Caenorhabditis elegans: one gene and its partners. The protein of the gene in region 3 purifies or fractionates together with the protein of the main gene of each other region. This does not show direct contact. Each region holds a gene or a part of one and is shown on either strand. Other genes may lie near its edges. The genes, in order: athp-2, czw-1, him-1 and rfc-2.

Region 1 (4,659 bases), on a different chromosome or scaffold from region 3:
TACTTTGCTCATTTTTGGTCGTTTTATCTTAAAACTGAAAATTTTAAAAATTACGAAGAGTTTAAAAATCTAAAAATTAACGAAGATTTTTAAAAATAATTCGAAAAAACTGAAAATATTGAAAATTAAAAAATTAACGAAAAGTTTACATAAAAATTCTAAAAACTCTGAAAATTAACGGAAAATTCTTTTAAAAATACGAGAAATTCTGAAAAAAAAAGAATTTTTCTGAAAAATTATTAAAAATTCTAAAAATTAACAAAAAACTCTTAAAACTGCGTATTTTCTGTTTTAAATTTTTTTCTGAATTTCTGAAATTTTTCTTTGGTTTTTCATCAATTTTCGGTAATTTTTTCGCAAAATTTTGAACTTTTTGTTATTTTTTAATATTTTTCGTCAATTTTTAGAATTTTTCGGAATTTAATTTTTTTATATTTTTTCTGAATAATAATAAAATTCTGAAAACTAACGGAAAACTACTAAAAATTAAACATGAAATTTTTTTTTTCGCAAATTTTAAAATTTTTTCTGAGCTTTTCCAAATTTTAGTTAAATTTTTGAATTTTTCATCAATTTTCAAACTTTTTCCGTTAAATTACCGATTCTTTTTGTCATTTTAAAAATATTTCTGAATGAATAAATCGAAAAAAAAATTTCCGGCAGAGCATTTTTTTATTGAAAAAAAATATGTATTTTATAAAAAAAAAAGGAACTCACGAGCCGCGGGATCCCGTTCCTCTTTTTTCGGCTTCTTCTCTTTTCGTTCATGATCCCCAGCCTTGAGAGTATTCGGAGCACGTCCACGTTGCAGAGCAGGAGTTTGAGGACAAATTGGCTCAGCGCCAGACATTACATCGGTCCAGTAGAGATTATCGATTTTTTCCAAAAACTGGAATTTTAGTGTGTAGCGTTCACTGTCCGGCGACATTTGACAGCAGTTTTTAAGGAATAAACGGATTTTTTGACGGGATCCAATGTTTTTTGAGCGGCTGAAAATTGGGGAAATTAATTTTGATTTTCTTCCTCCAAACTGTAGGGGTACTGTAGGGTTACTGTAGCTTGGGAAATTATAAAAATTTCAAAAAATATCGAAAAATAAACGTAAAATTCTTTAAAAAATCGTTAGTTTTCATTCAATTTTTCGCAATTTTGTACAATTTCCGGTTAATTCTTACATTTTTTCGTTAATTTTTTGATTTTTTCCAAACTTTTGCCATTTTTTTCGTAAATTCTAAAAAAAAAATTTCGCTAGTTTTTAGAGAGAATTTAGCTTTTTTCTTTGTTGAAATTTTGGAATTTTTTTCCCAAAAAAAATTATAATCGAAATTTATAAAAAATAGTGCAATTTTTTCTGGATTTTTTTGTTTTAAATACAAAAAAGTTACTCAAAAAATTCAGAAATTGCCAAAAATTGTCAAAATCCGTCACTATTAACTTCCGACCAATCAGCACCTGACTCCGCCCAATTCTGAACCAATCAGCGGCACAGATCGTCGCTGATTGGTTCAAAAGTGGGCGTGGCTAGGCGCTGATTGGTCAGAAGTTCCTATAACTGAAAAACTGCATTTTTAGAGTCAAATTTCTTCTTTTTTCCAATTTTCGTGTGATTTTCCTAATTTTACTCACAAAAGTCGATCAAAAGCAATTCCTTCTCTATACATTTCTTCTTCCGACACCGCTGGATCAAGAATCTGTAGTGTGTATCGAAAAGTGTCAGGCGGCGGTAAAATGGGCTCTTTGAGCTCACTTCCACCCTCAAAAGATGGATTTTGCTCTTCGATTTGGTTGGATTCGACGATTTTCGCCAGAAATTTGCGGCTTTTCTCGGCGTAGGCGACTTCTTCGTTATTGAAAAATCGATCTTTTAAAATGTGATAAATATCATTTACGAGATCTTCGAAACGGCCACGATTCGTATATTTATGAACAATTAAAGTAATTGGAATTTCGAGAGCTGTTGGGAAGTTACAGAGCTCTTGCTCGGCTTCTCGTTCACTGGCAATTGCTTCGAAATATGTTAGATTTGATTTTCGAGTAAGAGAACATGACCAGGCTGTTGAGTTGAGTAGAATCATTCGATTGAAATATTCTCTGAAAAATTGAAGATATTTGACAAAAATGGTTTTTTGAGCATTTTTTTCGGTAAAAATTGGGTCCTGCAATTTGTCAATTTTTTTCGGGATTTTTTGCTCATCTTTTGGTAAAAATCGGAGTTTTTTTCCTTTTTTCAGGTTTTTTTAAAGAAAAAAAAGGGGGTTTTTTTTGGTTTTGAACGTTTTTTTTCGGGCTTTTTCAAGGAAAAAAAAGAAGGTTTTTGTGTTCATTTTTTGGCAAAAATTAATTTTTTTTGACAAAACCGAATTTTTTTTTGCAAGAATGGGATTTTCTTGTATTTTTCGGCAAAAAGATGGGGGGGGGGGGGGGTTTTCGCATTTTTCTGGAAAAATAGGTTTTTTGCATATTTTTTCTGCTTTTTTTTTGTAAAATAGGTTTTTTAAATTCCTTTTTAATGTTTCTTCTTTGTTTTTTTCTGACAAATTGGGGTTTTTTGCGGAGAGAAATCGGTTTTTTTTCGTTTTTGGGAAAAAAAGAGGGGTTTTTTTAATAACAAAGATTTTTTTTGGGTTTCTTGGCAAAAATGGGTGTCTTTTTTTTGCAAAAAATAAACGAGTTTTTTGGTTGTTTTTTGTTTTTGTTTGACTGGGAAGAATAGGTGTTTTTCTGCGAAATTGGGGTTTTTTTCGGTTCTTTTCGAACAAAAAAGGTTTTTTTCGGATAAAATTGGAGTTTTTTTATTTGGCTCTTTTTTTCAAGTGCTCCAACCTATTTTTCCAACAAAAAAATCCGAAATTTAAACCATTTTCCCATTTGCTTACTCATGTGTCAAAAAGACTTCTTTTGTAGCCTTGCAATAGAATACTGGCGTATCCCGAGTGACTCCATCTGGCACTGATTGTGGTTCAAATTGTTGCTTGTGAAGCAACGGCATGTGCTCGCCGAGTTCTGTTAAAATTGGGGGAAAATTATAGTGCATTTTCTAGGGATGGGTCTCACAGGGAAAAGTATACATTACTGTAGGAATCGAGAATTTGGTCTGTGTTTTTTTTTATCGGAAAAAAAATGTAGAAAAATGTACAGAAAACGACGAGGAAAGTGAGAAAATTTATCAAAAATTTGAATTTTTTTAATCAAAAAATTATGAATTTTCGAAATTTTCTGGTTTCTTAATTTCAATTCTACGTATTTTTCTGGTTTTTGAATACAGTAATCTTAACTCACTGCAACTTTTTCCTCACGAAGGACGAGGAAAAGTGGTTTCTAGGCCATGGCCGAGGGGCCGACAAGTTTCAGCGGCCATTTATCTTGCTCTGTTTTCCGCCTGTTTTCTTTCGTTTTTCATCGATTTTTTTCGTTTTCTCTTAATAAAACTGATAAATAAATATTTTTTGCAAATGCTAAAACAATTTCCAAGTAAAAAAAATCATGTATTCAGTGGGCAAGCAGCGGTGAAAGTGGTCAATGTAAAATGATGGATTACGGGAATACAAAACCTAAACTTTTTCTGAAACATGATACATATGCTGCTTAAATGCTGAGACTACCTGATTTTCATAACGAGACCGCTAAGAAAGTTTTGAGGTTTCCAAAATTCAACTTTTTTGGTGAAAAAGTCGAGATTTTCGCACAAAAAAATTGAATTTTGAAAACCTCAAAACTTTTTCAGCGGTCTCGTTATGAAAATCAGGTAATTTCAGCATCTAAGCATCATATGTATCATGTTTCAGAAAAAGTTTAGGTTTTGTATTCCCGTAATCCATCATATTACATTGACCACTTTCACCGCTGCTTGCCCACTGAATGCATGATTTTTTCACTTGGAAATTGGAAATTGTTTTAGCATCTGCAAAAAATATTTATTTATCAGTTTTATTAAGAAAAAACGAAAAAAATCGATGAAAAACGAAAGAAAACAGGCGGAAAACAAAGCAAGATAAATGGCCGCTGAAACTTGTCGGCCCCTCGGCCATGGCCTAGAAACCACTTTTCCTCGTCCCTCGCGAGGAAAAAGTTGCAGTGTAACTTTCAGACTTCGCGGTGAGACCCATCCGCAAAAAATTTTTCAAAATTTTTCAAAAAACACAGATAAAAAGTAGGTTTTGAACACCTTAAAAGAGGTAAATTTACAACAAAAAATCCAAATTTTCTAGGATAAAAATCAATTATTCATGAAATAAAAGGACCTGAGATAGGAAAGACGGCGATGGAAATTAAGAAACTGCCCACAAAAATTACAAAAAAAAATACAGATACAGAAATATTGTACAAATATGAAAATATGATGAGACCAGTTGATGGGATAAAGATCAAAAAAATTGGAAATAAATGCGCCAAGACTACAGTACCTGGGGTCTCGAAGCGACAATTTTTGTTAAGTGCGTGTGTAAAGGTGTGCGCCTTTAAAGAGTACTGTAACTTCAAAAATTCGTGAATTTTCATCAATTTTTCATAGTTTTTCGATAAAAAAGACAATAAATTTTCACAAATTGTGAGAAAAACTCGACAAAAATTCACAGTTAAACACAGTACTCTTTAAAGGCGCACACTTTTTTCAATTTTCAACTTATCAAAAAAAAAGTTTTCAACTTATCAATTTGGGTC
Region 2 (5,292 bases), on a different chromosome or scaffold from region 3:
ATAAGATTCGAAATATCACCTAGGAATCAAGCGATGTATCAAATTTCATTTAAAAAATGAGTAAGTTAATATCCACCAAAAGCCAAACATATAAAAGACTACAGTAATCATGGCACTTCAAAAAACGCGAATTGTTTATTACCACTTTTCATTTTCTTCAGGAATATGAAGAAAACGGAAAAAAGGAAAGCTGTTGCGATGTGGTGGATAAATGCAGAAGCTGCAGAGAGAAATAGAATAGAATAAACAAATAAGTAGAGTAGAACGTATTGTCGCCCGCCCGGGAAAGGAAACGGGCGGCCCTTGCGGACGGGATTAAAAGTCACAACTGGTTCAATGTGATGAAGCTCGACTTTCGCCTTCATCTGTGCCACCATCATATGACATACGCCTTCTGGTGGGCGCCCCCGACCTTTCAAAGTGGCGTCTTGTTGTCTGCACTCTCCAGAGGGCGCCAACGGAATGCATTTGAAAAAAGTTGGCAACATTCCAAGGCTATTGTGTCGAGTGCGAACTGATCGGAAACCGTCACCGATGTTTAACTTTATTCAGAAAACATTGGGGGAAACATACTGGAAACCGGTAAAACAGTGAAACACAACGCCAGTTAAAAATTAAAAATGAATAATGTATTGGCGTGGAAGAGAATATGAATTAGTTTAATACACATTATAAACGAGCGATAAGATCAGAACGATGTTGCGAGTCGGCGAATAATGCTTTAATCAGTCCAACAACTTCGGATCGGCTCAAATGTTCTGCCATTGGACCCTTAGCGTTGAACCATCGATGCTCGATATCCTGAAAAATTAGCATAAAAATTATTTATAATTTCTAGACTTTCGGAACAAAACACATGTAAATTTCATATTTATGTTAAATCAAAACATCAAAAGTCGACGTCCGAAACAAGGGTGTTTTTTTGATTTTTCACTATTTCAAAAAGGGTAACTTTTAATATTTTCCTTTTTCCAATATTTGAAAAAATCCAATTTTTGAAAATAAATTGCTTTAAATATTCGCAATTTCACTTGTTTTAGAAGAACTTTTTTATTTTAAAAAAGTTTCTCTAAAGTTCCATGGTCAAAACTTCACTTTCATCAAAACAATACTTTACACGATATTTGAAAAAAAACCAACCTGCATTCTGTTTCCAAGAACGAACACAATTTCATTAAGACGGAAATACTCTCGAGCACAGAAATCGGTCACTTTTGTCTGCTCCTTATAGGCGACAATATTGGCAACAACTTCCAAAAGTCTTTTGAAAACGTCAGCCATCACGTTAGCATCATTTTCGCGGAAATCGGAAGTGGTGACAACGTGGCGCACAAGAGAATCCAACAGGAACGAGACGAGTGATCCAATCACCTTACAGTATACCACCTCAGTCAAAGGTTCACGAAGATTTTTTGCAATAAGGCGAATATGAAGAAGGCAGGCGGCAAGACATTTGATAATTTTTGGCTCTTCTCTCGGAACAAGAATATCAGCCGACTCGGACATCTCTTCAGCAGCAGCAAATGTATTCTTTGTAGTCTTATAACTTGCAGGCAAGTGTTCAAAGATGCTATGATCCTCCAAATAAGCAGTCATTTCGCGACGGCATCTTGTCAGTGTCTTTTCCATGCAATCAGCGGCAACAGTACGCAATCTGATAACAGAATCAAGGAGCAATGGTTCCAATAACGTCTTCTGATTGTCACCACTAGCCTCAAACGACATCGTCATAATGCAGTGTGATATATAATGACAGTTGTTGTAAAAAATGGCAGCCATGTTCGGGATCGAACTGAACAACTCAGCATGCTTCCTTGGTGTGAGAATCACGTAGAGACGAACAATATTCTCGGCGGTAAGAGCGAGTTTCGCACGAGCACCTTCATCTTCACAGGCAAACGCAGCCTTCACGTTATCACGGAGAAGATTGACAAAGTTGATAGTTGATTCACTGAAAATTATTTTTTAGAAAAAAATAATAAACACTTTAAAAAATTACCTGACTGTACATTTCTGGAAAGCGAAGAATGATGGAAACTGCGAATCTTCATTATGGCTCCAAAGACGTCCAAGATCTTTTCCATATTCTTTAGCAAAATGTTCGGCATGTGTATGAGCCTTTGCAAGCAAATCAATATCCTTGATGGCTGAATCATCAACTCCAACTGTAACCAGTTTGTCATACGTTTCATTTATCAATTTATTCGCTTTTGAAACGATCGCAAAGCAACGACGAGTCACAAAAATTGTGTCCGTGTCAAGAGTGAACAGCAACTTTGCTTTCTGAGAAAAGAATCCGAGCTCCTTCATTCTTTCGACAAAGACCTCTCCAATTTGCAACAAATTAATGAACATCTCCTGATCTTCGTCAGCAGTTTCAGTGACGGGTGCTGCAATCGCAATTACATCTTTCAGTATCATAGTTATCAGTTGTTCCTCAATAACGCTTCCGATCATCGACGTGAAAGTCTTTCCAGTCGCGTCCAGCAGTTCGTGAGAATGAAGAACGGAGTGCAACTTCGTAAAAAACACTTCCATTGACCTGAAACAACCATATTTAATTAAATTTCAGAATTTTAAAGTGGTTTTCGCTCACTCGAGAACTTTTGCGACATCAATAGTCTTGTCCTTCTTGCCACGTGGTTTTTGGTTTATCAAGAATCTTGTCTGATCAGGTGTTGGATTATCCACAATATATACGTCAACACCATCGCGGCTAGCAACAATCGCTTCACAGAACACGTTCAAGATAACGATTTTCCAAGCGTCCAGTCGTTCTGGTAATTGTCCAATCATATTCATAGCACTTAGAGTTTCGTTCAGCATTTTCTGATCTTCCACGCTTCCAACATTGAATACTGAGAAAGAAACATTTGTACGATCTCCACATTTCTGTTTTGACAGTTTTGGAACATTCATTGCTCTTTCGTAGTCAGCGGACAATTGGTAACGACAATTGTAGCTTAAAACCGAATATTCTGCGGCAAAATGCTTCAATGGAACACTCATGTCGAAACCGTCTCGTCCAATTCCTTCAAGCAGCATGTTTGTGTCATTGAGAAAATCTTTACAAGCAAGAATAGCAGTTCCCCATTCTACACGATTCGTTGTTTTACTCCGCATAATTATCAATTGTTCTTCGACATTTTTCATCTGAAAACTCAATTGTTTTATATGCTTATTTTCGAACCATTACCGATTGCAGGAATTCCACCAGATTTTCGCAGCTTTGAGCTTGGGATTTAATCTCTGCGAGCATTTCGGGGCTGTCCTTTGCTGTCTGATCAATTAAGTTAGACAGATTTCGAGTAGACATTTCAGCTATATCCTCGAGGTTCTCAAGTCGGTCGAAAATAAGCTTGGCTGTCGCGTTAACATTGAGTGACACTTTCAGGTTTCCATACTTGTCCACAATGTCCTGCGAGATTGAAGTAAGTCCATTTTTCAGTTTTTTCTCAAGATCTCTATAGGATCCCTCGGATGACGCCATTTTTTAAGTTTCACAGCCTGAAAAAGAAAATGTTCTACGGAATTATTAACTAACAAATACATGAAGACAAGAGCATTTAAATTTCCCGCAAATAGAAAACATAAAAACGACAACGAGACACCGGTGCGCTCACTTTAGCAGAAAAATGTTACTCACGCGTTCACAGAGATGAAAATTAATAACGGGAGATGAGTTGCAGGCAAGTGACTGGGGAAAGAGTCAATTTAAAAAATGTTTAATTGAGAATTCAGCATTCGTGATTGCTTACTTTTTGAAAAAAGAGCGCCGCGTGAATAAAAACAATAACGTTTCTATGAAGAATAAGATCTTATTACGTATAATTATTACGTTGCAACGCGTTGAAAATCGATTTTAAAATCCTTTGAACGATAAAAACAAAAGTTTGTAAAATGATTTGAAATCGAAATCAAACTTCGTTCCACGCGCGCATAATTATGATTATTGGCGCCAATGTACGGTGTACATCCGTGTTTGCGTACTTCGGACATGCAGACAACGAGAGACTGAACAAAACTGAGACCCGAAGAACTCGGGGGATGTCCAACTGGGGGGATTCCCAACTCGGGGGATTGGCCACGCCCACAGAACCGTGCCTTACAATACGCCCATTTCTGCAACCTCCGCACGGTTTTGAATGATGATTTTCTTCATTGTTTTTTGGGGGAGAAAAATCAATTTCGACTCTAAAAAGTTCAATTTGAATTGTTTTTCTTCGTTTTTTTCAGCCATTTTCGCAAAAAAAAGTATTTTTCAACCGTGACTTGTTAATTCGCCCTCCTTAATTCGTGTATTCCTTTTGTTAATCTCTTTCCCTCTCATATTTTATCAATTTTTTTAATTTCTAGACTTCGTCGAATCGAGGGAAATTGCACGGATGAAACAGGGATGTGCTTCTCCAGGCCACCCACGTGAGTATTATATTCTCAAATTGTAGAAAGTAGGAAAAAATTGATTTAAGAACAAAAATTGAAATAGTTTAACAAAAAATTAATGAAATATCTTCGGATCGAACATATATGGACTTATAGAGGCATTGAAATCGTTGAAACAGCTATAATTTGCTGTCACTGCTCTTTTGAAGTCGGAATTTCTGTATAGTGGCGGGCGATCAGTTCTTTTCGATTGTACGTCTCTGTGAACGTTAAGACTCCAAACCGTAGACTTCTCAATTGAATTGTGTAGAATTTTGTAATTGCATTCATTTAAGCCAAAAGCCTCTAAAAACTAAGCGAATCTGATAATAGACCAGATAAAATCTTTTTTCATTTATATATCAGCGATGTCATTATGAAAGTTCTAATTTAAATTTTTCAGATCCGCCCGAGCTGCTCATCCTCCAAATTCTTCCGTTTTCATGACAAATTATTGTTTTTTTGTTGAAATTATGTAATTCATTAAATGTAATATTATCCTTATCTGTAAATAATTATCATGATCAATAAAATATCGCTCTTAATGTTCAATGAATAGCTTGCAAACCAATTTGTACAATAATTTCATTGAACAATTTCCTTCGGCTCTGAAAAACATTTCATCACAATTTTTCAGGTTATCTTATTCGAATTTTTTAAATAGAACTCGTTCTACGTTCTTCACTTCGTCTCCTCACGTGTAAATTGTTCTTTCCTTGCAAATAATCGATTTTTACGCGTCGCCTTTCCGTGTGAATTGTTGTTTCACTGCGAAAAATCGATTTTTTTGAAATATTTTACTTTTATTCCGCGAAAACGACTCAAAAACCGAAAAAAACAATTCAAATTGAACTTTTTAGAGTTGAAATT
Region 3 (7,942 bases):
ACGTTTGAGACCTTTAAATGCGGGGAACTGTGTGACTGAGTGAATCGGTTTTTGATAATTAAGAAATAATGAGGGGTAAGGGAATAGTAATAATGAAATTATACAGATGATTTGATAGTCGCGGTTGTCAAAAATTTATATAATTTATGTTGCAATCGATGGTGTTGGTGGATTTTCAGTCATTTCATTGAGACCAATTTGTTTGAAGCGCGTCAAATCGAAAGTGAGAACACCAGATGTTGTACAAGCGGCTGGATATGGGAAGATTCCGATGAGTGAGTCAGCTTTGTTGTAGAACTCTTCTTTGAGAGAAATGACGATAATTTGCATATGCTCACGAGCTGATTCACAGATGTACGAAGCGACCTGAAATTACAAAAAAAACGTTACAATCTTTTCTCGCAGGTTATACTAAAGGCGGAGTAAAATCGTTTTGAAATTTTGCTTAAAAGTTTGATAGTTTGATAGTTTTTTAGATCAACTATCAAAAATATGCAGAAAAACCGGAGGATTTACCCTTATTTTATAATTTTTGTGTTTTACAACAGTAATATTCGGTCATTACAGTCATTTTTCTATCTTTTGAAGCAAAATTTAATTTTAATGAACAGTTTAAATAAATACCTTTCCAATATTAGTATTATCCAAAGCAGCATCAATCTCGTCGAGAACGAAAAACGGAGCAGGATTACGTCCGTGAACTGCAAAAAGCAGTGCCAACGCGGCAATTGTCTTTTCTCCTCCAGACAAGTTATCCATCGGACGGAAACGTTTTCCAGGAGCTACACAATTGTACTGGATACCATCCAGATAGGGCTCTTCCATGTTATCAGCTCCGAGGAAGGCTTGAGCAGAAGTATTTCGTGAGAGTTGCTTGTAAATGTCATCGATAGTGTTGGCCACAGGATCGAAGAAATCTTGGAAGCGTCGGTAGCGATCGGTTTTTACCTGAAAAAAACAATATTTTAAAATCGATAAAATATATGAGAAAAGTGAAATTGAAGAGGTGTGAGAGATAGAGGGGACAGATTGAGTGACAATATGGGTACAACTGTTGTCATTTTAAAGTTATGAATGTCTATGTCTCTTATCTCTAATGTTTTTGTCACTTGGTGTCCAGAAGGTGCACATTTTCATTTCAAGGAATTTCAAGAATATTCTTATTTTCAGTATAGGAAAATTATCGCAAAAAAATTATTTTAATGAAGCGGTTTTTTTTTCGGTGATTCAAACATGTTGGTTCAACGTTTTTAATTTAAAAAATGTCAAAATGTAAAAAATCACCCGATATCTGTGAAAATAACATTTTTTGAGTACTTTATCAAATCTTTTGACTGAAATAAATGTTCTTTTCAGATAAATCAAGAGATTTTCTATACTTTGAAAAAATAACTGATGCCCACTCCTGATTTGAATCCATTTTTGACATTTAAAAAATAATGCATTTTGTAGGTTTTAAATATATATTTTTTAGCTAATTTTCTAGTTTTTATCTAGTCAAGGAATTTTTTTTATTTTGGCCCACAAAATTATGTGTAAAATCTAAATTTTTCAATGTCTAAAATGGATTCGAAGCTCTCCTAAACTTTCATTTTTATCGATACATTTTCAGATACTAAACGTTTGGAATTTCTTAATAACTAACCTTCTCGAACTGTTGCCGAATTCTCTTCGCCTTCTTTCGAGCATTTTCAAGTTCTTCAGTCGACTCGGCTTCTCGTTCTTTCACCTCTGCCATTCTCTGATTGGCTTTCAAATTCGGCGCATTCATTTTTGACACATTTTTCTGCAGTTCATCGATTTCCACATTGAGTCGATTCGACATTTGCCGTACACCATCATCGTCATCCACCTGTAATGCAAATCGTGTGAATCTAGAAATGAACTAAAACACGGAGGGGGGCAGGGCGGGGCGGGGTTGGCAAAAGAGCAAATAATTTTTGATCAGCAACCATCACTAACAGGACTGCTGGTTTTTTTTAAACCGAAAAAGTAGATTTTTTTCGTATTTTGTTTGGCTCAAAAATCGAAAAAATTTAGGGTCAAAATAGTTCAGAAAAAATAAATAAATTTTTGTTGCCAGTATTTTTTCGGTTTGCTCAGAAAACCGAAACATGTCTTGGCAGCACTAACATCTTTATATTCTCGCGGTAACGAGTCGTAGTTGATTTTGATGTGTTGCTCTCGTTGAATTTGCTCCTCTGATACACTTGGACCATCGGTGGCTGATTGAGAAGACTGAGAAGCTGTGTCATCTGAAATTAATTGGAACTTGAAAGGAAACAGGGAGACAAAAATTATGAAATATATATCTAAAAGCTGAAAACTGAATTATGGAAAAGTGAAAATGCGATTTTTTCAAAACATCAAAATCAAAATAAATATCCAACCTCCATCATCTTCCTCATATTCAACGTCAGCCATACTTCCTGATTTGAGTGGTAACGCAATTTGCCCAAGCTTCACAGAATGAAGAAGAGAGTGCCGTTCATATTGCTTCTTAGTAAGCAAACTTTCAAGACGAAGAAGCTCTTTTTCAGCCTTTGTAAAGTCTTTCATCGCAACTTGTGCAATTTTTTTGACCTCATTCCACTCGGTTTCCAATTTATGTGATAAGGCCTTCTTCTCTTCCAGCACTTCCTTGTCTTGCTCCATGGATTCCGTGTGCTCTTTCAAAGCGGCCGCCGCCGTTTTCTCTTTTTTCTTCATGTCCTTATATTGTCGGTCGATTTGTGAAACCTGTAATAAAAATATTTCAAATAAGGTAAACAAAACAATTTTAAGAATCTTAAAGAAACTGATAAGGAGTTTCTTTACAAAAAAATGAAAAACGTACTTTCTCCTTTTCAACTTCAACTTTCCGATTGCCATCTTGCTCGGTGACAAAGTCAATTTCGTAGGCCAACTTTTGGATATCATCGTCAAATGATCGAAGCTTGTCTTCCATTTCTTGCTTGATACGCATTTCACGATTCTCATAGTCACGAATCGATGCGATTCCAACACGAGTACAGAAATCAGCGAAAATTCGATCAGCCACTTCATTGCTCTTCGTTTGCAGAGATTTTAAAGTACTTTCACTGCGTTCAAGTTTTTCTTGACAATTCGAGATTCGCGGCTGAAAATATATCAATTTTTGCAGATTACAAATTTAAAAGGAGGTCTAATGGCTCCAAAATTTGCTCCAAAATAAATAAATTTTTGAAAGATTTTTGAGAATTTTCATTACGAAATTCGTTAAGTTGAGCACTTTTTGGGGTTATAATTTTTTTTTTCCAGAACCGTTGGTCACTAAAAATAATCACCGGAAGCATATTCATCTCCGCGGTCATGCCTTCAAGCTCATTTTGAAGTCTTTCCAACTGCATTTCTCGCATATTCTTCAGATCTCGCTTCATCATTGCCAATCTTTGCTCATTTCCATTAATCTTGGAGCGTACACTTTCCACTTCGAGTTCACGACGACGATGTTTCTGAAGATCCGCGATTTTTTCGTTCAGTTGGTTCCGCTTTTCTCGGAGTTGTCTGGAAAAATATTAATGTTTTTTTTTCAATTTAATAAAAAATAAAATAAAAACTCACTTGACAACTTTCTCGTCCCATTTCTTGGACTTTTGTCTCAAATCAGCAGAACCTCCGGACATAACTCCAGATTGTTGGAACAGAGTTCCGTCCATCGAAACTGCCTTGAAACGATCTTTCAGCTCTCCTCCACCGTATGCAAGCTGCTTAGCATCTTCTTGACTCTCACAAACTAATGCGTTTCCACAAACGAATTGAAGAGCTTTTCTAGCTGCTTGATGTTGAGGATTGATGACATCGAAGACGAGCTTCACTCCAGCTGGCTTTTTGATTTCACGAAGTTTTTCATTTAGTGGATTAACAACTAGTGCATCATTTGGAAGGAAGGTTTCTGGGGGATAACGGTGATCCTGGAAATTAGTTATTATGAATTGAAATTTTGGAAGTGAAAAAAGAACAAACCTTCAGATAAACAATTGCCTTGGCAGCAGTCTCTTCAGTATCACAAACAATACTGTTCATATGCTTCTGAAGAATCTTTGTGGTGGCAATGTTGAACCGTTTATGAGACGGTTGACAGAGATCGACAAGTCTACCATACACACTCTCCGGGAAATTCTTTTTCAATCCTTCAAGTGCCTCCGTTCTTCTTTGATTTCTTTCTCCTTCTGCAGAATCTCCAGAAGCTTCGGAGAGTTGACGAACGACAGCTACAAGCTCTTTGTTGTATTCCGCTGCTGCTGATTTATCAATAACAACGTCATTTTCAATCTTCTTAAGATCAGCTTTCAAGATCTTTGTCTCTTCTTCAGTTTCCTTGATTCTTTGAGCAAGAGTTGCAATTTGAGTTTCAATTCTTCGCACATCACCTTCCTTCGCTTTAACTCTTTCTTGATGCTCCTTTTGGCGTCGAAGCTCATGATTTAGAGAACTCTTATCACCTTCGAACACTTGTTCGGCCATCAATAGCTCTCTTTGAACCATTGCTGATTCTCGCTGAGCTTGATCTTTCAGCTGTCCGTACTCACGTACTTGTTCATCCGAAAGATTTAACTCGCCTCTTTGCATCATATCCTGAATCTCTGCTTCATATGCGGCCTTCTTCTTTTCTAGCTCTTTTTTGCTTTTCTTCAAATCCGCCAGCTGAGTCGAGTTGTTCTCTGCCTTACTTTCTGCAGCGGCAAGCATCTTCTTCGCAATTTCCAGCTTCTTGTGCTCGTGAGCAACGGAAACTTTCAATGTCAGCATATTTTGTTGCTTTTCAGCCAAATCCGTCTCTTTCTGATCGAGTTTTCTTGTCATCTTCTGAACCTCGCGGAGAGCTTTCCGGTGCTCCTGATGAACCGCAGCGATTTTCGCTTCTTCTTTCGACTGTAATATATAATTTTGATTATTTTTATATACTATAAATCAATCAATCAAAATTTTACGATAAAATATTGAACAATATTAGCTTCACCGGAAAATAACTTTTGTATAACTTGGAAGAACTGCTTTTTAAGTTGTTCCAAGTTAAATAAGTAATTTTCAGATAAAGAAAATATTTTTCTAAAGTTTATCACAAAATATGAATGAAAAATATTGGAAGAACGTCATTTAGTAGAATTGCCTTCATCATACCCTAGTTGCTTCGAGACTTGCAATCGTCTTTTTCTGAGCGTTGATCTCCTCTTTTGATTCGTCGATCGTCCGTTCGCAATGGAACAATTGATGGAGAAATAGCATCGTCGATTTTGCAGCCAGCTCATTCTTCATGGTTTGATACTTTTCAGCTTCATCTTTCTCCATTTTTGCCTCACGTTTCTCTTGAGCGATTCCTCGTCTCTTGTTCATATTGTGTTGAGTATCATCTTCAGCTTTTGTCATCTCAACTTTCAATCTTTCATACTCTGCTTGAAACTCGTGTGATCGTGAGAGCTCCTCGAAGAGTTGAGTACGTTCTTTTGGAGTTTTCATGGCAATATTTTCGATAGCTCCCTGATATACCAGAAAGTTTCTTGCCTTGATGAAGATATTGATACTTTCCATTTCTTGTGAATATGCTGCACTTGTGACAGTTTGACCATCAAGAAGATGTTCAGATGTTCCATTATTGACGCCTCTGGTGAATGCCTTGACTTTTCCGTCAGAATATTTGTAGTTCATAGTGACACGACATTTCTTAGCAACTGGCTTGTTAATTGGTGCACCATGAATCAAATCCTAAACATTATTGATTAAAATCTTCTATATTTTATACTTTTTCTCTTACCGCATACTTTCTAACACGCAAACTGCTTGGCTTCTCTCCGAGCACGAACGAAATTGCGTCCATAAGATTTGATTTTCCTGAACCATTTGGTCCAATGATAGCTGTGAATCTTGTAAAGGGTCCAATAGTATGTTTTCCCTTGTAAGATTTGAAGTTTTCGATCTCGAGTGTGTGGAGAGTTCCTTTGCCTGGAAAACTATCCAGCGAGCTTCCGCCACGCATTATTAGTCTGAAGAATTAAGTAAAAAGTTATAGTTGAACAAGAATAAGAATGGTGAGGTAATTTTTGGTAGATAAACCAATATCATACATGGAATAAATAAAAATAGATAATAATGAGAAACCAGTTTAGTTTATTTTAAAAAAAGTGAATATACATTATGACCAGGTTTGCCGATAATTTGAGGAGCTGATTAAATCATGACAATGCATTTTCCCGATTGCTTGGTGAACTCTGTGTGCTGGGAGTTCCAAGGTTTTGAATAAGACGGACAAGGTTCAACGGTGAAACGCCCAGTGATAGTAACTGAAATAAGTGAATAAAATACTGGGAAAATCGATAAAATCTCACCCTCTCCACTGACGAAACCTGCTCAGCTGTGAGGAAAACATTTAGAAATTTTCCCATTTCAACAATGCCTGTAAATGTAAAAACATTATCGATTTATATTGAAAAAATTCAACTTACGCTGGGTGTGTTTCTTTGGGTCGCTCATAATCGATAAAATAACGGGGAGATAAGTGAAATTGATGATCCTTAAATAGAAAAATATAATTTCAATCCGTTGTTGTCAGAAATAACAATAATAAAGCATAAATTATCGAAAAATCACTTAGTATCGTTAGATGAACAGGTTCAAATTTGAAATGTGAGGACGCTAAACGAAACGCATAAATGTTACTGCGGAGTGTCGTAGTGTTGTTTTTGGAGGAATATTAAAATGAATTTCTTGCAATATTTCGTGATAAAGATGGTACAAAAGGTAATAAAAACAATAAGAAGTTAGTATTGAAAAGTTAAAGATTATTAGAGAAAAAACAACAGAGAATGTTGTAAAAGAGCATTCCTAATGCCACGCTGATTCAAAAACTCTGAGTTAGTACGCGGAACTTGCTGAGAACATCAATAAAAAATACAATTTTCAATAAGAAAACAACTATTTACATAAAGCAACAGATCGAAGAGAAGTAGTTAAATTCGTCAAACCTAGTGTAAATTTTTGTTTTTTTTTGCATGGTAGAGTCAATTTTTTATTTTTCTGATAGTACTAAATTAAAAAAAACAACGAAATATGTGAAGGAAATCGCAATGAATTGAAAAATTTCTCTGAAAGGCTGCCGTAAATATACATTTAAAGGGACACAGACTCAGTCGTTCGGGTCTCGCGGCGATTTTGGAAGTCACGTTTGAGGCCCCACGAAAAGGGGAGCAGAACGAAAAGGGGATCTGCGAAAAGGGGAGATACGAAAAGGGGAGATACGAAAAGGGGAGCAACGAAAAGGGGATCTGGCTGTGCCAAACGCTATTTTTCTCGAAGAAAACGATACAACGATGCTCCGATGTTACGCGTCGCGTGTTGTTAAGCGTATCTTCTAGAAGAAAATTTCAAAAATCAACGTGCGTTGCGTGAGAAAAATTGCGTTTTGTGCGTTTGGCACAGTGCCAGCTCCCCTTTTCGTTGCTCCCCTTTTCGTATCTCCCCTTTTCGTATCTCCCCTTTTCGCAGATCCCCTTTTTGCAGATCGCCTTTTCGTTCTGCTCCCCTTTTCGTGGGGCCTCCCAAAACAGGATGCAGTGACGGGACCTTTTCGCAACCACCGCACACTTTTTTCGCAAGCCTCGCACGTTTTTCTTTTGAAAAAATGCAACAATATCATGGAAAAAACGTGCGAGGCTTGCGAAAAGAGTGTGCGGTGGTTGCGAAATAGGCCCCGCCCCTACTCACGCGTGGCCACGTGGCACACGTGGCACACGTAGCGATTGAAATAAACAAATTATAACTTAAATTAGTTTGTGAAATCGGTTTCTCTCCGACACACGCGTCACACAAAAATGCGTATTTTGCGTATTTTGTTTTCATTGGTAATCTTCGGATTAATAGTTCATGTATTGGTGAGTTTTTTAGACATCCTTCGATTTTTCTAGACCATAATGTTTCACCATTTTTC
Region 4 (7,706 bases), on a different chromosome or scaffold from region 3:
TCACATACTATATAGGGAAATTCAGTTCAGTTGCCGAGGTGGCGAGCCAAAATTTATAGCATTCCTCGGCAAAAACTGGAATTCCGGAAAAAACCGGAAAAGGCTAAAAAATCTTCGAATTTTTAGCAGGGATTTGAGCAAAATTTGAAAAATCCAAGAAAATTAATTTTTTGCATCAAAAAATTGAAAAATTCAAAAAGTGTGCAATTGCCGAGTTGCCGTACCCAAATTTTTAGCATTTCTCGGCAACTGGGATGAAATTGCTAAAGTTCCGAGGAAAATCCATCTATAAATATGTTTAAAGTGCAATAAAAATAATTAATAAAACGCGCAATTTCGCTGCGAGACCCAAAACTACATATTCTGTACAAGAATCGGGTTCATTTGAAATTTTGAAAAAAAAAATTGAGAAGATATGAGGATCGACGTGAAAAATAATTGAAAATCTCGGCAACAATTTTAGGCACTCGTAGCCGTTGCCGCTGCTGAAACTCGGCACAGATCGGCAATCAGACGGGAGAGTTGAAGTTTCGAAGTGAGTCCCTGCACGATACGCATATGGCACATGGCGATTTGCTGAAAAATTGTTTCGTTGTTTTTTTTTAATGGTTTTGGGCTAAAAAATTAAAATTTGGGCATAGCTTCCGCATCTCCAGTGACAAATGTGCTCTATTGCACAAATTGTTGGTTGGAATACGGTATTTATTGCATATTTCAGCCGAGAATACCACTATTCAAACCATCAATTCGGATAGAGAAACACACAAGTCACAGACAATATACCGGGAAATTCAATTCAGTTGCCAATTTGCCGGAAATTTCAATTTCGGCAATTTACCGATTATCCGGAAATTTTTATTTCCGGTAACTTGCCGATCGGCCGGATATTTTCAATACCGGCAACTTGCCGATTTGCCGGAAATTTTGATTTTTGGCAATTTTCCGTTTTGCTGGAAATTTCAATTCCGGCAATTTGCCGATTTGCCGGAAATTTTTGAATTCCGCTATTTTCCCATTTTGCCTCAAAATTCAATTCCGGCAATGTGGCGGAAATTTTATTTTTTATTTTTGGCAGTTTGCCAATTGGACGAAAATTTTCAATTCCACCATTTTGCCGTTTTGCCGGAAATTTCAATTCCGACAAATTGCCGATTTGCCGGAAACTTTCGATTCCGGCAAATTGCCGAGTTGCCGCAAATTTTCATTTCCGGCAATTTTACGGTTGGCCGGAAATTTCAATTGGAAATTCAGTTCAGTTGCCGAGTTGCCGGACTCAATTTCCGGTAACCAAAAACTAAAATTCGGCAATTTCCGGCAACTAGTCTTCGAAATTCACGATTTTCGCCAATTTTAGGCTACCAATCCCTAAAATCCGGTGGTTTTCGGCAATTTTCAGCCACAAAGGCCGAAATTTAGATATTCCGATGATCTAACAACGAAATTTCGCGTTTTTCGGCAAAACAAAGCTCCAAAAAACGCGGATTTTTGACAATTTTCAGAACACCCCGGGCGGCTTTTAGCCGCTCATTTTGGCTCATTTTCCACCCATTTTCTCACCCGAATATACTCCATTCTCAGCTGTTCGGACACATTTTTCGACAGCTCGACAGTCTTTACCACACGGAACAACGTTGATACAATATCGTCTGAGGAGAAGCCAAGCCGATGAAACTCGTGAATAATCTTGGATGCCTCGAAGAATTTGCGATCCGTACAGTAATGGAGCATTTTGATCATAAGGTCCGGGTGTGGCTCATCACAGACTTTCAGCACATTTTCCTTGTTCACAAGCTCGTAAGCGTTCACTGTTGCCTGGAAAATCGGAACATTTTACTTTTTTAGCCGGAAAATTGCATATTTTACATAGTTTTTAATTGAAAATAAGACATTCTAAATTTTCTACAAGTTTTCAGCCCAAAAATGGAAAATTTGTTTTGAAACGCAATTTTTGTTTAAATTTTCAGCAGATTTTTACTAAAAAAAAATTGGGCATAGCTTCCGCATCTCCAGTGACAAATGTGCTCTATTGCACAAATTGTTGGTTGGAATACGGTATTTATTGCATATTTCAGCCGAGAATACCACTATTCAAACCATCAATTCGGATAGAGAAACACACAAGTCACAGACAATATATAGGGAAATTTAGTTCAGTTACCGAGGTGCCGAGCCAAAATTTATAGCATTCCTCGGCAAAAACTAGAAAAGGCTAAAAAATCTTCGAATTTTTAGCAGGGATTTGAGCAAAATTTGAAAAATCCAAGAAAATTAATTTTTTGCATCAAAAATTGAAAAATTCAAAAAGTGTGCAATTGCCGAGTTGCCGTACCCAAATTTTTAGCATTTCTCGGCAACTGGGATGAAATTGCTAAAGTTCCGAGGAAAATCCATCTATAAATATGTTTAAAGTGCAATAAAAATAATTAATAAAACGCGCAATTTCGCTGCGAGACCCAAAACTACATATTCTGTACAAGAATCGGGTTCATTTGAAAAAAAAATTTGAAAAAAAAACATTGAGAAGATATGAGGATCGACGTGAAAAATAATTGAAAATCTCGGCAAAGCTCGTAAGCGTTCACTGTTGCCTGGAAAATCGGAACATTTTACTTTTTTTTAGCCGGAAAATTGCATATTTTACATAGTTTTTACTTGAAAATAAGACTTTTTCTAAATTTTCTACAAGTTTTCAGCCCAAAAATGGAAAATTTGTTTTGAAACGCAATTTTTGTTTAAATTTTCAGATTTTTACTAAAAAAAATTGAAAAATTGGGCATAGCTTCCGCATCTCCAGTGACAAATGTGCTCTATTGCACCGAATTGTTGGTTGGAATACGGTATTTATTGCATATTTCAGCCGAGAATACCACTATTCAAACCATCAATTCGGATAGAGAAACACACAAGTCACATTTTCATGAAATTTCCACTTAATTATACTGGAAATCGGCATTTTTGCAATTTTTGTGGGGAAAAAATTGTTAAAATACCCCTTTTTTAGATGTCCTTTATCGAAAAAAAAAATTAACTGAAAAATGTAAAAAATTTCAATATTTTGATGAAATTTCATGATTTTCACTGAAAAAATGAGAAAATTTTAATGAAAATTTCAATTTTAGGAAAAATTCTAAGTTTTTTTGTTGCAAAATGTAAAAAACTGGTGAAATCAACAAAAAAAAATGTTTAAATAAAAAAATGGTACGAAATCCAATTTTCATGAAACTTTTTGAGATTTTCAAGGAAAAAAGAACATTCAGCGAAATTTTATATTTTTAGACCAATTTTTCAAAATTTTGAAAATAAAATTATGGAGTTCGGAAGGATGGCCAAGTTTTCCTGGAAATCTTTTTTGGAAATCTTTTTTGGAAATTTTTTTAAAGTTTTTTTTTTTTTTGGAATTATCTGGAATTTTTTGGGATTGTTGTGAAATTTTTAGGATTTTTTTTTGAAATTTTTAAAAAGTTTCCTAAAATTTTTTGAATTTTTTTTTTTGGATTTTATTTTGGAATTTTTGAGATTAATAACATTTTTAGATTTTCACTGAAGAAAATTTGGAAAAGGTCAATTTTTAGTGAAAAAAAATCCTTTAAAAATATGATTTTTTTCACCTTTTTTACGGAAAACGCCAAATTCCAACTAAATTAGCTAAAATTTCCGGTTTTTCACTACTTTTAAGCACATACATTGTAAAAATTCTGGTCTAGAAAATTGTGAATTTTCGCAATTTTTTCCAGCGTTTTCAGCTCAAAATTCAGCCTTTTCCCGGATTTTCTACCTGTAAATTGTTCAACGCCTGTCGCATATCACCCTGTGCAGTGAACAGAATCGCTTCAAGACCCCCGTCGTCATAGTTGACCTTCTCGGCTTTTGCAACCTCCTTGACACGTGTCAACAGCTGTACGGGGCTCAATTTTGTGTAGCGGAGCAGGGCACAACGGGATTGAATGGGCTCTGAAAGGGGCAAAAATCGATCGATTTTTTGGGGAGTTTCCAGGCCGAGATCTGTATTAGTGTGGACGGCAAGTGCCGTTCGGAAATTTTTTGTCAGCAAATTCGGCAAATCGGAAAATCGCCGGTTTGCCAATTTGCCAGAAATTTCAATTCCGGCAATTTGCCAATTTGCCAGAAATTTCAATTCCGGCAATTTGCCAATTTGCCAGAAATTTTAATTCCGGCAATATGTCGATTTGCCAGAAATTTCAATTCCGGCAATTTGCCAATTTGCCAGAAATTACAATTCCGGCAATTTGTCAATTTGCCAGAAATTTCGATTCCGGCAATTTGCCAATTTGCCAGAAATTTCAATTCCGGCAATTTGCCGATTTGCTAGGAATTTGAATTCCGGCAATTTGTCGATTTGCTAGAAATTTTCAAAACCAGCAATATGCCAATTTGCCGGAAATTTCAATTCCGGCAATTCGCCAGAAATTTCAATTCCGGCAATATGCCGATTTGCCGGTAAAATCGTTTGCCGTCCCTAATATGTACCAATAATCTTCTCGGATTGATTGCAGGCCAACGCAAATCTTGTCGTCTTTGTGTACATCTCCATTGTGCGGCGGAGAGCCTGAAAATTTGGTTTTTTTTTTTTGGAAATTCAATGCAAAATTCGTATTGAGCTCGTTGAGAGCTTTCATTTAAGTATAATCATGACTGGGTTCCGAAAATTTCGAAAAAATTGGAAATTTTTTAATCATCGTGGCGGGGGACTAATTTTTCGAGTTTAGGAGGTTTTTTCGGATGAAAATTGCATTTTTTGGGGGGATTTTCATTGGAAAAAATCGAATTCCTCGCAGAAAAACTGGTAGATTGACATCCAAACTGGCTCAATTTCAAAAAAAAAAACACGAAAATTTTGATTAATTATCGTGTAAATTTTCCTGAAAAAATAAGTGAAATTGTGTGTGCAAAGTTACCATTTTTCTCGGTTTTTTTTGTGGAAAAAACGGGCAATTTTCTGATATTTGACATTTTCTCTTTAAAAAAATCGCAAATTGTCTCGGAAAACGCTAGAAATTCCGGATTTTTGACCATTTAATTTATGGCATTTTTCATTTAAAAAAAATTCGAAATTTGTACCAATTTCATTGCAAAAAGCTCAAAAATTGCGGAACTTTGATATTTTCGTCAGAAAATTCCGATTTTATCTAGATTTTGTCAAAAAAAAACTGAAAAATCTACTAAAAACACTCACTTTTCGGCTTTTTTTACTTAAAAAAATCCCGCCTACGTTTAAGTCTAAGCCTGAGCCTAAGCCTAGGCCTAGGCCTAAACCTAATCCAAAGTCAAGGCCTGAGCCTAAGCTAAAGCCTGAGCCTAAGCCTAAAAGCCTAAGCCTAAAACTTTCAGATTTATTTCCAAAATTATCGCAGCCTAGTCATGTTCATACTTAAATCAAAGCTCTCGTTGAGCTGAATTCAAATTTCCAAGTTTTTCGGCAAAATTCCGCACCTGCTGTGCACCATCGGTCATCGAATCGGCCTCGTCCAGTATGATAATCTTGTGACGGCCTTCTGGAAGTGTCACCTTCGTCTGGGCGAACGTTTTGATACGATGACGGACCACATCGATTCCTCTGGAAATATTGGCAGTTTTTTGAGATTTTTTTTTTGAGAAAAATTCAATTTTTTCAAAGTTTTTAGCGAAAAAGTCAATTTTTTTGCAATTTTTCCCAGTTATTCAGGGTTTTTTCTCACAAACCTCTCGTCCGACGCATTCAACTCGAGCACCGCTTCCTTAACCTTATCGCCGAGCAATTCTCGAGCCAACGCCCACACTGATGTCGTTTTTCCGCAGCCTGGGGGACCCTGAACGGAAAAATTCGATTTTTCACTTCACATTTTGACTTTTAAAATGAATTTTTCAACAATCTTCTCACCGACAAAACAATATTCGGCACATTTCCCTCGTGTCCGATCACTTTGAGCCGCTCGACAATGTTCTCGTTGCCGACAATATCGGCGAGCACTTTTGGACGATATTTCTCCACCCATGGCGCTAATTGTTGCTTTTCCGACTTTGACATAGCTGGAAATATTGAAAATTTGATAAGAATTCGATACAAAACTCGAAAAACGTGACGAAAATTCATGGAATGACAAAGAAAATCAGTTTGGCGCGCTTAAAATTCAAAAAACAAATATTATCCGAGAGGAGTACACCGAGCGGGGACAAGGTTTCCTCCTCGGCCGCGGCCACTTTTGCCAAAAAAAACAACAGATATTCATGAAATTGAGCCAGAATCGCTATTTTTGAACGAAATTTCGAATTTTTTTCACAGAAATAGTAAAATTGATAAAATGGGAAGTCGGAAATTACAAAAAATTGTAAATACGAGCTGTTTTTTCAGCGATTTCTAGCAAGAATTAAATGGAATCAGAAGAATTCTGGGCAGAAGAGCATTTTTGCAGATAGAAATATGTTAAATATAATACTATCAGTGTATCTGACCGGTTTAAATAAAGAAAATATGTACGACTGTGGCGGCTTCGGGCTGATTCTCACTTCTCGTGGCAAGTGGATGCACTTCATGGACTTTTAACAGCTACAACTTTTTTCGCGTTGGAGATAGAGCATATGGGCTCGAGCTCGAGCATTTGGGCTCGAGATTGAGCATTTAGGCTCAAGCTCGAGCATCTGGGCTCGAGCTCTTACTTACTTTACTTTGATACTTTGATGTCCGTTGGGTTCAAGTTGCGAAGAGGATAAACTCATTCCATTTTTTTTCACGGTCAGTACGTGCGATGGACAGCCATGGAACCTTCGGAGTGAGCATTCCAAGTCTTCTTCTTCCGACGACGACTTGTCCTGAGTCAGGACTCCTGACATCGAAAAAAGTTTTTTTGAAATAAATAAATAAATAAATAAATAATTAATAATTAATAATTAATAATTAATCATTACCTATATATAAAAAAATAGTGTCCGTTTGTTAACAAGTGACGTCATAGCTTACAAAGGCAAGGTGTTTTCGGCTGTTGGAGGGATATTAGTTTGTGGTTAGTAGAGGAATATGGGCGGGGTACTGTATTAGTACTGTAGGAGTACTGTATTAGTACTGTAGGATCACTGTAGTTTATGAAAAATTGTGTTTTTGTCTTTTGAAGAGATATAGGTTTGGGGTTAGAGGTGGGATATGGTCGGGGTACTGTAGTAGTACTGTAGAGGTACTGTAGGAGTACTGTAGGATTACTGTAGTTTATGAAAAATTGTGTTTTTGTCTTTTGAAGAGATATAGGTTTGCGGTTAGTAGTGGAATATGGTCGGGGTACTGTAATAGTACTGTAGGAGTACTGTAGGAGTACGGTAGGATTACGGTAGTTTATGAAAAATTGACTTTCCGTCTTTGGAAGGGAAATTGGAAACTTCTGGAAAATTCTGAAATGTTCCAGAACCTTCTGGGAATTTCTGGAAAATTCTAGAATGTTCCAGAACCTTCTGGAAAATTCTGAAAAGCTTTAGAACCTTCTGGAAAATTCTAGAAAATTCTGGAATGTTCCAGAACCTTCTGGAAAATTCGAAAAAATTCTGGATTGTTCTAGAACCTTCTGGAAAATTAAAAAAATGTTGCTGCGAGATCTTCGTGGCGAGAGCCATCGTGGCGAGACCCATCGTGGCGAGACCCACCGTGGTGAGACCCATCGTGGAAAGACCCATCGTGGTGAGACCCATCGTGGCGAGACCCACCGTGGTGAGACCCATCGTGG

What was found.
Region 1: the proteins of him-1 (region 3) and athp-2 fractionate together in Caenorhabditis elegans (co-fractionation; one large-scale study listed by BioGRID). This does not show direct contact.
Region 2: the proteins of him-1 (region 3) and czw-1 fractionate together in Caenorhabditis elegans (co-fractionation; one large-scale study listed by BioGRID). This does not show direct contact.
Region 4: the proteins of him-1 (region 3) and rfc-2 fractionate together in Caenorhabditis elegans (co-fractionation; one large-scale study listed by BioGRID). This does not show direct contact.

Annotation. Positions count from the first base shown.
Region 1 is NC_003280.10:4,338,526-4,343,184, reverse strand, and holds the start of athp-2 (Bromodomain adjacent to zinc finger domain protein 1A), read right to left. Parts: upstream 3,004-4,659; 5' UTR 2,990-3,003; coding exon 2,877-2,989; intron 2,092-2,876; coding exon 1,627-2,091; intron 990-1,626; coding exon 718-989; intron 1-717.
Region 2 is NC_003282.8:7,943,086-7,948,377, forward strand, and holds czw-1 (Centromere/kinetochore protein zw10 homolog), read right to left. Parts: upstream 3,508-5,292; 5' UTR 3,491-3,507; coding exon 3,197-3,490; intron 3,154-3,196; coding exon 2,597-3,153; intron 2,543-2,596; coding exon 2,000-2,542; intron 1,952-1,999; coding exon 1,141-1,951; intron 802-1,140; coding exon 670-801; 3' UTR 535-669; downstream 1-534. Other genes in the region: F20D12.12 (uncharacterized protein), read left to right, coding at 4,386-4,419, 4,826-4,869. UniProt on the Caenorhabditis elegans protein: Essential component of the mitotic checkpoint, which prevents cells from prematurely exiting mitosis. Required for the assembly of the dynein-dynactin and mdf-1-mdf-2 complexes onto kinetochores.
Region 3 is NC_003279.8:4,951,666-4,959,607, forward strand, and holds the start of him-1 (Structural maintenance of chromosomes protein 1), read right to left. Parts: upstream 6,003-7,942; 5' UTR 5,996-6,002; coding exon 5,774-5,995; intron 5,725-5,773; coding exon 5,143-5,724; intron 4,894-5,142; coding exon 3,985-4,893; intron 3,933-3,984; coding exon 3,583-3,932; intron 3,526-3,582; coding exon 3,306-3,525; intron 3,119-3,305; coding exon 2,837-3,118; intron 2,740-2,836; coding exon 2,391-2,739; intron 2,256-2,390; coding exon 2,134-2,255; intron 1,853-2,133; coding exon 1,646-1,852; intron 949-1,645; coding exon 625-948; intron 367-624; coding exon 145-366; 3' UTR 1-144. Other genes in the region: mzt-1 (Mitotic spindle organiZing protein (MOZART) homolog), read right to left, coding at 6,192-6,299, 6,345-6,412, 6,462-6,489; enu-3.3 (ENhancer of Uncoordination), read left to right, coding at 7,827-7,886. UniProt on the Caenorhabditis elegans protein: Involved in chromosome cohesion during cell cycle and in DNA repair. Required for chromosome segregation during mitosis. Central component of cohesin complex. The cohesin complex is required for the cohesion of sister chromatids after DNA replication.
Region 4 is NC_003282.8:1,345,637-1,353,342, reverse strand, and holds rfc-2 (Replication factor C subunit 2), read right to left. Parts: upstream 6,030-7,706; 5' UTR 6,026-6,029; coding exon 5,879-6,025; intron 5,808-5,878; coding exon 5,701-5,807; intron 5,576-5,700; coding exon 5,452-5,575; intron 4,568-5,451; coding exon 4,489-4,567; intron 3,952-4,488; coding exon 3,776-3,951; intron 1,813-3,775; coding exon 1,558-1,812; intron 577-1,557; coding exon 460-576; 3' UTR 366-459; downstream 1-365.